Linked DNA regions of Drosophila melanogaster. The protein of the gene in region 2 purifies or fractionates together with the protein of the main gene of each other region. This does not show direct contact. Each region holds a gene or a part of one and is shown on either strand. Other genes may lie near its edges. The genes, in order: CG6013 and Gagr.

The links.
Region 1: the proteins of Gagr (region 2) and CG6013 purify together in Drosophila melanogaster (affinity purification with mass spectrometry, with the first as the bait; one large-scale study listed by BioGRID). This does not show direct contact.

The regions. Positions count from the first base shown.
Region 1 is NT_033777.3:19,029,887-19,033,141, reverse strand, and holds CG6013 (uncharacterized protein), read right to left. Parts: upstream 1,640-3,255; 5' UTR 1,572-1,639; coding exon 1,117-1,571; intron 1,054-1,116; coding exon 867-1,053; 3' UTR 733-866; downstream 1-732. Other genes in the region: Prp18, read left to right, coding at 1,949-2,971; P5cr (pyrroline 5-carboyxlate reductase), read right to left, coding at 3,070-3,133, 3,195-3,255.
Region 2 is NT_037436.4:16,392,653-16,397,399, forward strand, and holds Gagr (Gag-related), read left to right. Parts: upstream 1-1,933; 5' UTR 1,934-2,297; coding exon 2,298-3,356; 3' UTR 3,357-4,228; downstream 4,229-4,747. Other genes in the region: CG44836 (uncharacterized protein), read right to left, coding at 4,291-4,747.

The DNA.
Region 1 (3,255 bases), on a different chromosome or scaffold from region 2:
AGACAGAAACTTTTTATTTGGAAAATCGGACAATTAAGCCCTAATATCTTATATAAAATCGCATTTAATGCGCAAAAAGAGGTGCCTAACGACTTAAAGCTCATACTTAACTGGCCGATGTTACGTGCATTTGTTCGACGGACCAGCAAAATATTTGGGTGGCTCTGGTCCAAAAAACGCCACCAAACTTCCAAGCAGCAAGTAGTGAAAGCGGAAGCACTTATTATTCTCCGTATTTTGCACCACTAAAAAAAAAGTGATGGACAAAACGCTGGAACGACAACAGCAATCAAAGCAATACATATAATTACTTCATTCAGAAACGCAACCGGAATCGGATTCAGGGCCACAAAGTTTTTCAGCCGGTGGCAAATAAAAATTCGGCATTCAATAAGCGGAGAAAAGCTGTCCGTTATCACTTTCGGATCTGAGTTATCCAATCCTATGTTTATTCGCCCGATTTTCTATAATTTTATTGACTCTTGCATAATTAAATATTTCTTTTGTAAGAGCGAAATTATTACAACCAAATTGTGTACAATATAGAAAAATATGTGTTGAATTTGTATCCAGTTCTTATAATAAGTACCTATATAGCAAGATTTTATTCTAATATGAATATGTTAATCTTATTATTGTTTTTTGTCTTTCGTATCCTTTTGCATGGGATGCTTTATGAAGGATAATAGCTAACCACTTTTGCAATTAACACAAATTCAACTCACTGGGCTTAAATAAATAAATAAATTTATTCCGTCCACTTTTTTTTTTATATACTACATTCTGCGTACAGTTCAAAGGTGCTACAGAACGTTTTGATTATTTCTTTGCTGCTAGGCAGCAAACAGTCTTGGTCCTTGGATCACTTAGCGCGCCTGGTTGAATGGGTTGTCTGGTGACTTGTTCCATTCCTTCATCAGAAGCTGCTTCCACTGGGACATGCGAAGGGAAGGATTCTCAGCCTTAATGCGGGGCAGATTGTTGGCTTCAAAGGTCTTGTAGGCGGCGCGCATTCGCTTCTCGGGATGCTTGTCCTCTTCGCTGTCATTTACACTAAAATTGCATGCAATGGAAGATAATTTAAATTGATAAGAAAGTTTCAGTAAGGGAACGCACCTGAGCACCACGATGGCCTCGTCAATGTTGGATGCCACATCCGTGTCGGCCATGGATCGGTTCAGATTCTCCTCGATATGGTTTTGGACCACCACTCGCGCGGCCATCGGCTTGTTGGCCTCGTTTATCGCCTCGATTACGCGCTGCTTCTTCTCCATCTCCTCGAGAATCATCTGGCGGTTGATCTTGGCCAGCGGCTGCTTTCGCTGCGTGTTAATGGATGACATTTCCTGGTCAAGCAGCGCTTTGGCCTCAGCCTTCCGTTTGGCCGCCTCCGCCCGCTTGCGCTCCTCCTCGTCCTTGCGCTGTTGTTTCTTGGCCAGATTCTTGTCGTCATCGCGCCACAGGCGATCCTCCGCCTCCTTGCTCTTCTTCTCCTGCGTGGCCTTCTTGGTGGCCTCCTTGCGCTCGCGGGCCTCCACCGCCTTCGAGTTGATTCCCATTTTCTTTGGCATTGTGTCCTTTATGAATGAATTCCGATCCTAAAATGTTGTCTATTTTTTATTGATTTTGAGCCAGTGTGACCAGGCTGCGGAAATACCAAAGAGTAACCAAAGAAAAAATACTAGAAAAATATATAGCTCAAATACAATTTAAATGTCTAATAAATGCATTTAAATTAAATAAATTAGGAAGTACATATTTATCTAATTATTGATTAAAGTTATAGAACTAATTATAAGTTATTTCATAACTAAAACTTAGTAAATTCAATAGAATACCTATTTTAGTGGCCGCACTTGTATGTAAACATTCTCAGTCTGGTCTCACTATAATCTAAGGCATTTGTTTTGGTTACTCCACATTGTTATTAACTACAAATAACAATCACATGGATATTCTGAAAGCTGAAATAGCGCGAAAGCGCAAGCTGCTGGAGCAAAGGCAGCTGGTGGACGAAAAGAAGAAGTACTTCAGACGCGGTGACCTGAACGCCAAGAACACAGAGGAAGTGCTGCAGAAGGTGGGCTACATAAAGCAGGAGTCCGTCGAGGCACAAGGACAAACGACCGAAGGCGCGTACAGTTTTGTGGCCGATGGCCAGAACATATTGCCGCGCACGGAGGTCATTCGGAGGCTAAGGGAACGCGGCGAACCCATCCTTATATTTGGCGAGACGGAGCCCGAGGCCTTTGACCGATTGCGACAATGCGAGATTTCGCAGCCAGAGGCAAATCGCGGTTTCCGCAACGATTTCCAGGAGGCCATGGAGCAGGTGGACGCCGCCTACCTGCAGGAGATGTTCGCCAACACACCCACCACCAAGGAAGACAAGAAGTCGGACTTCGCTGAGCTCGACGAGTCCGTGTCGTGGGAGAGCATACAGACAATGGCTGCAAATATGGGCCGCAACAAGGACTACGACATGGATGTGATCATCACGCTGCTCACCTTCCTGCTCAAGCTGTGGAACGACCAGATCGCCAACTACAGCAAGCACGAAAAGATGTCCACAAAGGTGAAAATGACCCGCGTCATTTACACGCAGACTAAGGAATACGTTAAGCCGCTGTTTCGCAAGTTAAAGCATCACACCCTGCCAGAGGACATTCTGGACAGTCTGCGAGACATCTGCAAGCACCTGCTCAACCGCAACTATATCACAGCAAGCGATGCCTACCTAGAAATGGCCATCGGAAACGCGCCTTGGCCCATTGGTGTCACTATGGTGGGTATCCACGCTCGTACGGGTCGCGAAAAGATTTTCTCCAAAAACGTAGCCCACGTAATGAACGATGAAACACAACGGAAGTACATCCAGGGTCTCAAACGACTGATGACCAAGTGCCAAGAGTACTTTCCCACCGATCCCTCCAAGTGCGTGGAGTACGTCAGCAAGAAGGATCGGGAATAAACTTGAGCTTTATGTTAGTCATTATTGTAATAACAATATCAAGCGTTTAACTATATGTATGTGTAGAGAGCAAGGGGATGTTCCGGGGGATTACATTTTCACTTCTTTCCCAGTTCAGCAGAGCGCTGTGACGACTTTTCCACGGCGTTTATTAAAGTAGACCTGAAAGCACGAAAGAAAGCAATAAAAAAACAGTGTAATGTACAACTTTATGGCTACCCACCTGAGGTTCCCCTTTTCCAGTTCATGAACGCCTACTATGGTGGCGCCACCGGGAGAACAGA
Region 2 (4,747 bases):
CAGTTTAGAGACGCGATTTAAATTAGCACCCCAATGGAAACCCCCCCTTAATCGCGGAGCACCTCCCCCCCTTTCCATCCTAATCCAGCGCTTTCTTGGCGCTTTGTCCTCGTCGATGACTACACGCCGACAAGTTTTTGCTATTATTAAACAGTTTTACAAGCCGCTAACGCTCAGAAATTGTTGCTAATTAGCCGAACCGCGCACGCCGGCGCAGCAGACCTTAAAAGCGACCCCTCGAGGGGAAGAGAGGGGGGGTGATGGTGGTGGAGGGTTAGGAGTGGGCTGCCACTAATAAAGGTGTGCGCTGGTATGAGCAGCGGTGCACTGCGAGAAATGATCCACTACATTGCACTTCTATTCAAATCACTTTCTAATCTTGTACCGTTAACGTCAATAGCAGAAAGTTTACTTTAATAATTAATAATATTGTTTGAATTTTAAATAAAAATGAAAAAAAAACAATTTTTATTTGTGAAAGTTGAAGTTTTTGACCTTAAAATGGTTACATAGACGTAAAAATTATGTATTAGTACTAAAGTGAAGAAATCGCTAAGCACTATGTTATCAAAAATAAAACTTAGAATCTCATAACAATTATCATTCTTTATCATTCCAAATGTTGAAAATTAAACATAAAGCTAGAATATCAAGTGAAACCTATTAATTACACTCATTTTCTCTCAGTGCACGTGTCAAGATTGGAGGCAATCGAGCTGAATTAGATGCTGCTGGGGTCGATTGAGTGCAGATCAGGCGATGAGCAATCGAGTGCAGGGTGCAGCAAGCAGCGAGCAACAATTAGATTCTTCGAAAAAATCTAAAAAATTATGAAAGGACCTTGGAATGCAATTTTGCTGTGTGCCACAATTTGCATGTGAATAATGGCAAAAATCACATCTCTCGCTGTCAATCGGTGCGTATGCGTAATATTTGTGTGCGCCGCACAGTCTGTCAGTTTGAAATTATGTTGTCCTAGCGTAGACTTTCCCCATTTGCTTATTTATTTATTTATTTATTTATTTTTTGTTAGCCATTTGAACCCCGACAATTAACACGGCGAGCAGCGACGAGGCAAACAAAAAGCGAATCTAACGCTTCGTTTAAGCGATTTGTGTGCGCTCTTTAATGAAATTCGCTGCTGTGTTTGATGTTGTATTAGGGGTACGAGTAACGACTATGTGCGTGCTACGGCCTTTTTGTGGCCCGTGTCCGTTCGGCTGGCACTATCGCCATCTCTATCTGCCCGGCTATACATACATATATCTATCGCGATCGGTCGCAGGGTGTCGCCGTGCTGGGATTTTGTGGCTATGACTCAGCGTCGCAACAACAGTAAGCAAATAGCGTTTGGGGGAAGTTGGTGTCACGTCTATGAGATACCCATTGAATCTATTAAATTCACTATCTATTTTATGTCATCTATTAAAGTTACTATTTAGCAGTTCAACTAGGTCGCTTTAGGTCGCGATTTTTCTCTTTATAAATTTCTACATATAATCACATTAGTTTTGATTCACTTTAAATGTAAGCTTAAAGCGGAATTTAGCTGAAAAGAAAAATCGAGTTCTTCACTACCATACGATTATCAGGACTTCCGGCATTGTTCACCCAAATGTATGCTACAAAAAATATCGTTCCCTTTTGAAGGCAACAAGGAAACTCTATAAGAACTCCCATACTTCTAAGAAGAAAGTAATATTAAGGAGATATCTTGTATGTAAGACCCATAGAGTGAAGTAGGGAGTAGGGAAGCATGCGTATGTCCTACTTATTTTCCCAGAATCCTCGATTGATATCACTGTGACTACCCATTGTGCGAACCATACCACCTGGATGGTCTAGTATACCCGTTGCACTCCACACACAACGGGTACCACAACTCCCACCACAATGAATGGCGGGCGCTGTGTTCCGTTCTGTTTTATTCTGCCAGTTGATTTCGGTTCGGGTTCGGATCCGCTCATTCAGTTCAGTTGTGCTCAGCTCGGTTGGAGCGACCACGGTTCGTGTCGATTGCGAATCCGTTGCCATTGTCGGATTGGATCGCGGAGAGGGTCTTGCAAGTAAAATTCATGTTAATGAATGTTAATTTATACATTTGTAAGAATCTAAAATCTGTTTTTCCATACACAACAATTATTGACGCGGCAGTCGCTGCTTGGCGGCGATTTCGAATTTTGAAGCAGTCGCGCCCGAAACGTCGCCGCGAACGCAACGATCGGTTAACGGTAAAGATATAGAAGGCCACCCTCTTTGGAACTAGTAATAGTAGTCCTACGGGAGATTAGTCCAGAATGGATCCCGAGTTCGTGAACAAATACAATCAGGTCCTTAGCCGTCTGAAGCTAGTGGAGAACTTCGATGGCAGTGATCCTGGCAAGCTGCCGCAGTTCCTGCACAAAATCGAGGCCCTTATGCCGGCCATAAATAGTTTCGACGACTACTACAAGTTTCAATTGATAGGACATATCAAAAATAAGTGCACAGATCGCGCCAGGGAGGCGGTCTTCACGCGACAAATGAGCGCTCCCGTGGGCAATGGCAATGGCAATGGCGGCGGGAATGGTCATCTCCTGAAGGCCGAGTCCTGGCTAAAACTCAAGGATCAACTGCTGTACAACTATGCGGAGCGGGAGTCTAGCTACTCGCTGATACACAAGATACGCAGCGCTGTCTTGGACTCGAACATAGAGTTGTACTACCAGAAGATGGCCAAACTCAAGCACAGACTGATCAATAGAAAGCTCACGCACAATGACACCCTGTACAGTCTCGAGGACATAGAGCGCATCACGCTGCAGGTGTTCCGAGATCATCTGCCCGAGCCGACGCACTCGATGATCCTGCGCCGGAATCCCAAGAGCATGGAGGAGGCCTATCGCTACATAGTGGAGGTGCAGCAGCAGTTCTACACACAGAGCGGATCTCTGGCCAGTGACCATCAGGCGGCCACCTTCAGCACCAGCCACAAGCAGCAGTCCTACGGCGTGGGAATGGGCGGAGTGGGCGTGAGCACCGTTGGCGTGGGCGTCGGAATGGGCATGGGCGCTGTGGGGTTGGGACTCTCCTCCTACGTTCGTCAAATGTCCAACGACAAGGGACAGCAGAATAGCACGAAGAGCTACTACAATCAGTCGGCTCCGCCGGTGGGCGCCGGCAAGAATCATCCGATGTTCAAGAGCATTGGCAACCCCACCTTTAAGTCCAGCTTCAGCTACAATGGCACCAGCAGCAATTCGGGCATGGGATCGAATTACTCGAGTACCAAGAAGTCGGACATCAAGCAGAACTACCAGCAGCAGAAGAGTCAGAACTACTCGAAGACCTCGTCGGCTAGTGCTTGGAAGAAGTAGTAGTTGACATGGCTAGACGATCTCACCCTCCAATCGATCGGCGGTCCAGTGAGATAAGCGTATCGAGCATGACCTAATCCCTTGGAGCCTGTGACTAAGCCAGGGCAAAGTGATTGCCACCTCATGCTAATTACCCCGATACCTCACCCTCTAATGGCGATGAGGTGGCCGAAGATTATAGGATGTGAATATAGATTAAATTGTGATGAGAGAGCCATACTGGGTGCAACGAGATGGAGGTGATCTGATCCCTGTTTCGCGATAATCATAACCAATCCCTATCAGTACAACTAAGACGATAATGATGTGAATGTTCAAATAAAACAAATAATACAAATGTTAATGTTATAACTAACAATGCGGCAATTTAAATACCTCCATGGATTAAGCGTACTAGATTGCACATGCAAATAAAAAAAAAAAAACAAAACCATGTGAATGAATACAGATGAAGATAATGCAAATAGAAAGTAAGGGCATTGCAATAATAGAAAGTGTGTGCATAGCTATGTACTATCAAGTAAAAATTAAAATAACTAAAAGTATAGAATCACTAATTCGAGCTGATAGCAATGATCTTGTCGAAATACAAGATAATTAAGCCGATCGAGATAATTGAATGCATGATGTTCGATCTTCGGTAATGATGACATCGATCGCGTGTCCATCGATGATGATCAATCCGCAGACAGTATCGACATGTTAATTATTAGCTCATAAGACCCGAGTGTACATAGCCCCACACCTCAGTCCCCAGTCACATTACCCCCTATATATGTATCTACCGCCAATCGCCTATTTTTTAACAACAATCGCCCACCTTCAAATTCTGTTTTTTTTTTTGTTAACAATAAAGTGTAAAGTCTAACAGCCCTAGTGTATCTCTGTTTTGGTCGGTCAGAGGTATCGAATTTGGCATAGTTTGTTTACTCACAATTTGCTGGGCACTTGAAGTGTGGGCGGAACCCCTCGGATCATAGCCCATGTCCTGGGGCGCTGGCTCCGATTGCTGCTCCTGCAGCTTCACAGTCTTCGGTCTCGACCGCTCCTTGACATCCTTTTCGGGCTTACCAAAGAGTCCTCTCTGCTCCGCCCGGCGAATCAGGTACTTTTCATTCAAATGTGTCAGGGTTTTGCGGCGCACCAAGGCCAAGTAACTGCCCGTAACCTGCTGTTTGATGCAATTATCCTGATTTATGCATATATCCGGCACGGTATCCTGCACGAACTCATCGATATCGGGTGTTACAATCAGATCAATGCTTTCCACACGCGGCAGTGGAGTAGCTGTACAGCCCGGAGGTCCAGGTGCTGGAGGTTCCGGCTGCGCCGAGGGTTTATCCTTCTTCCTGGGCGAATCCTTGCTCATTGCAGCTGCCGGAATGTTGGCT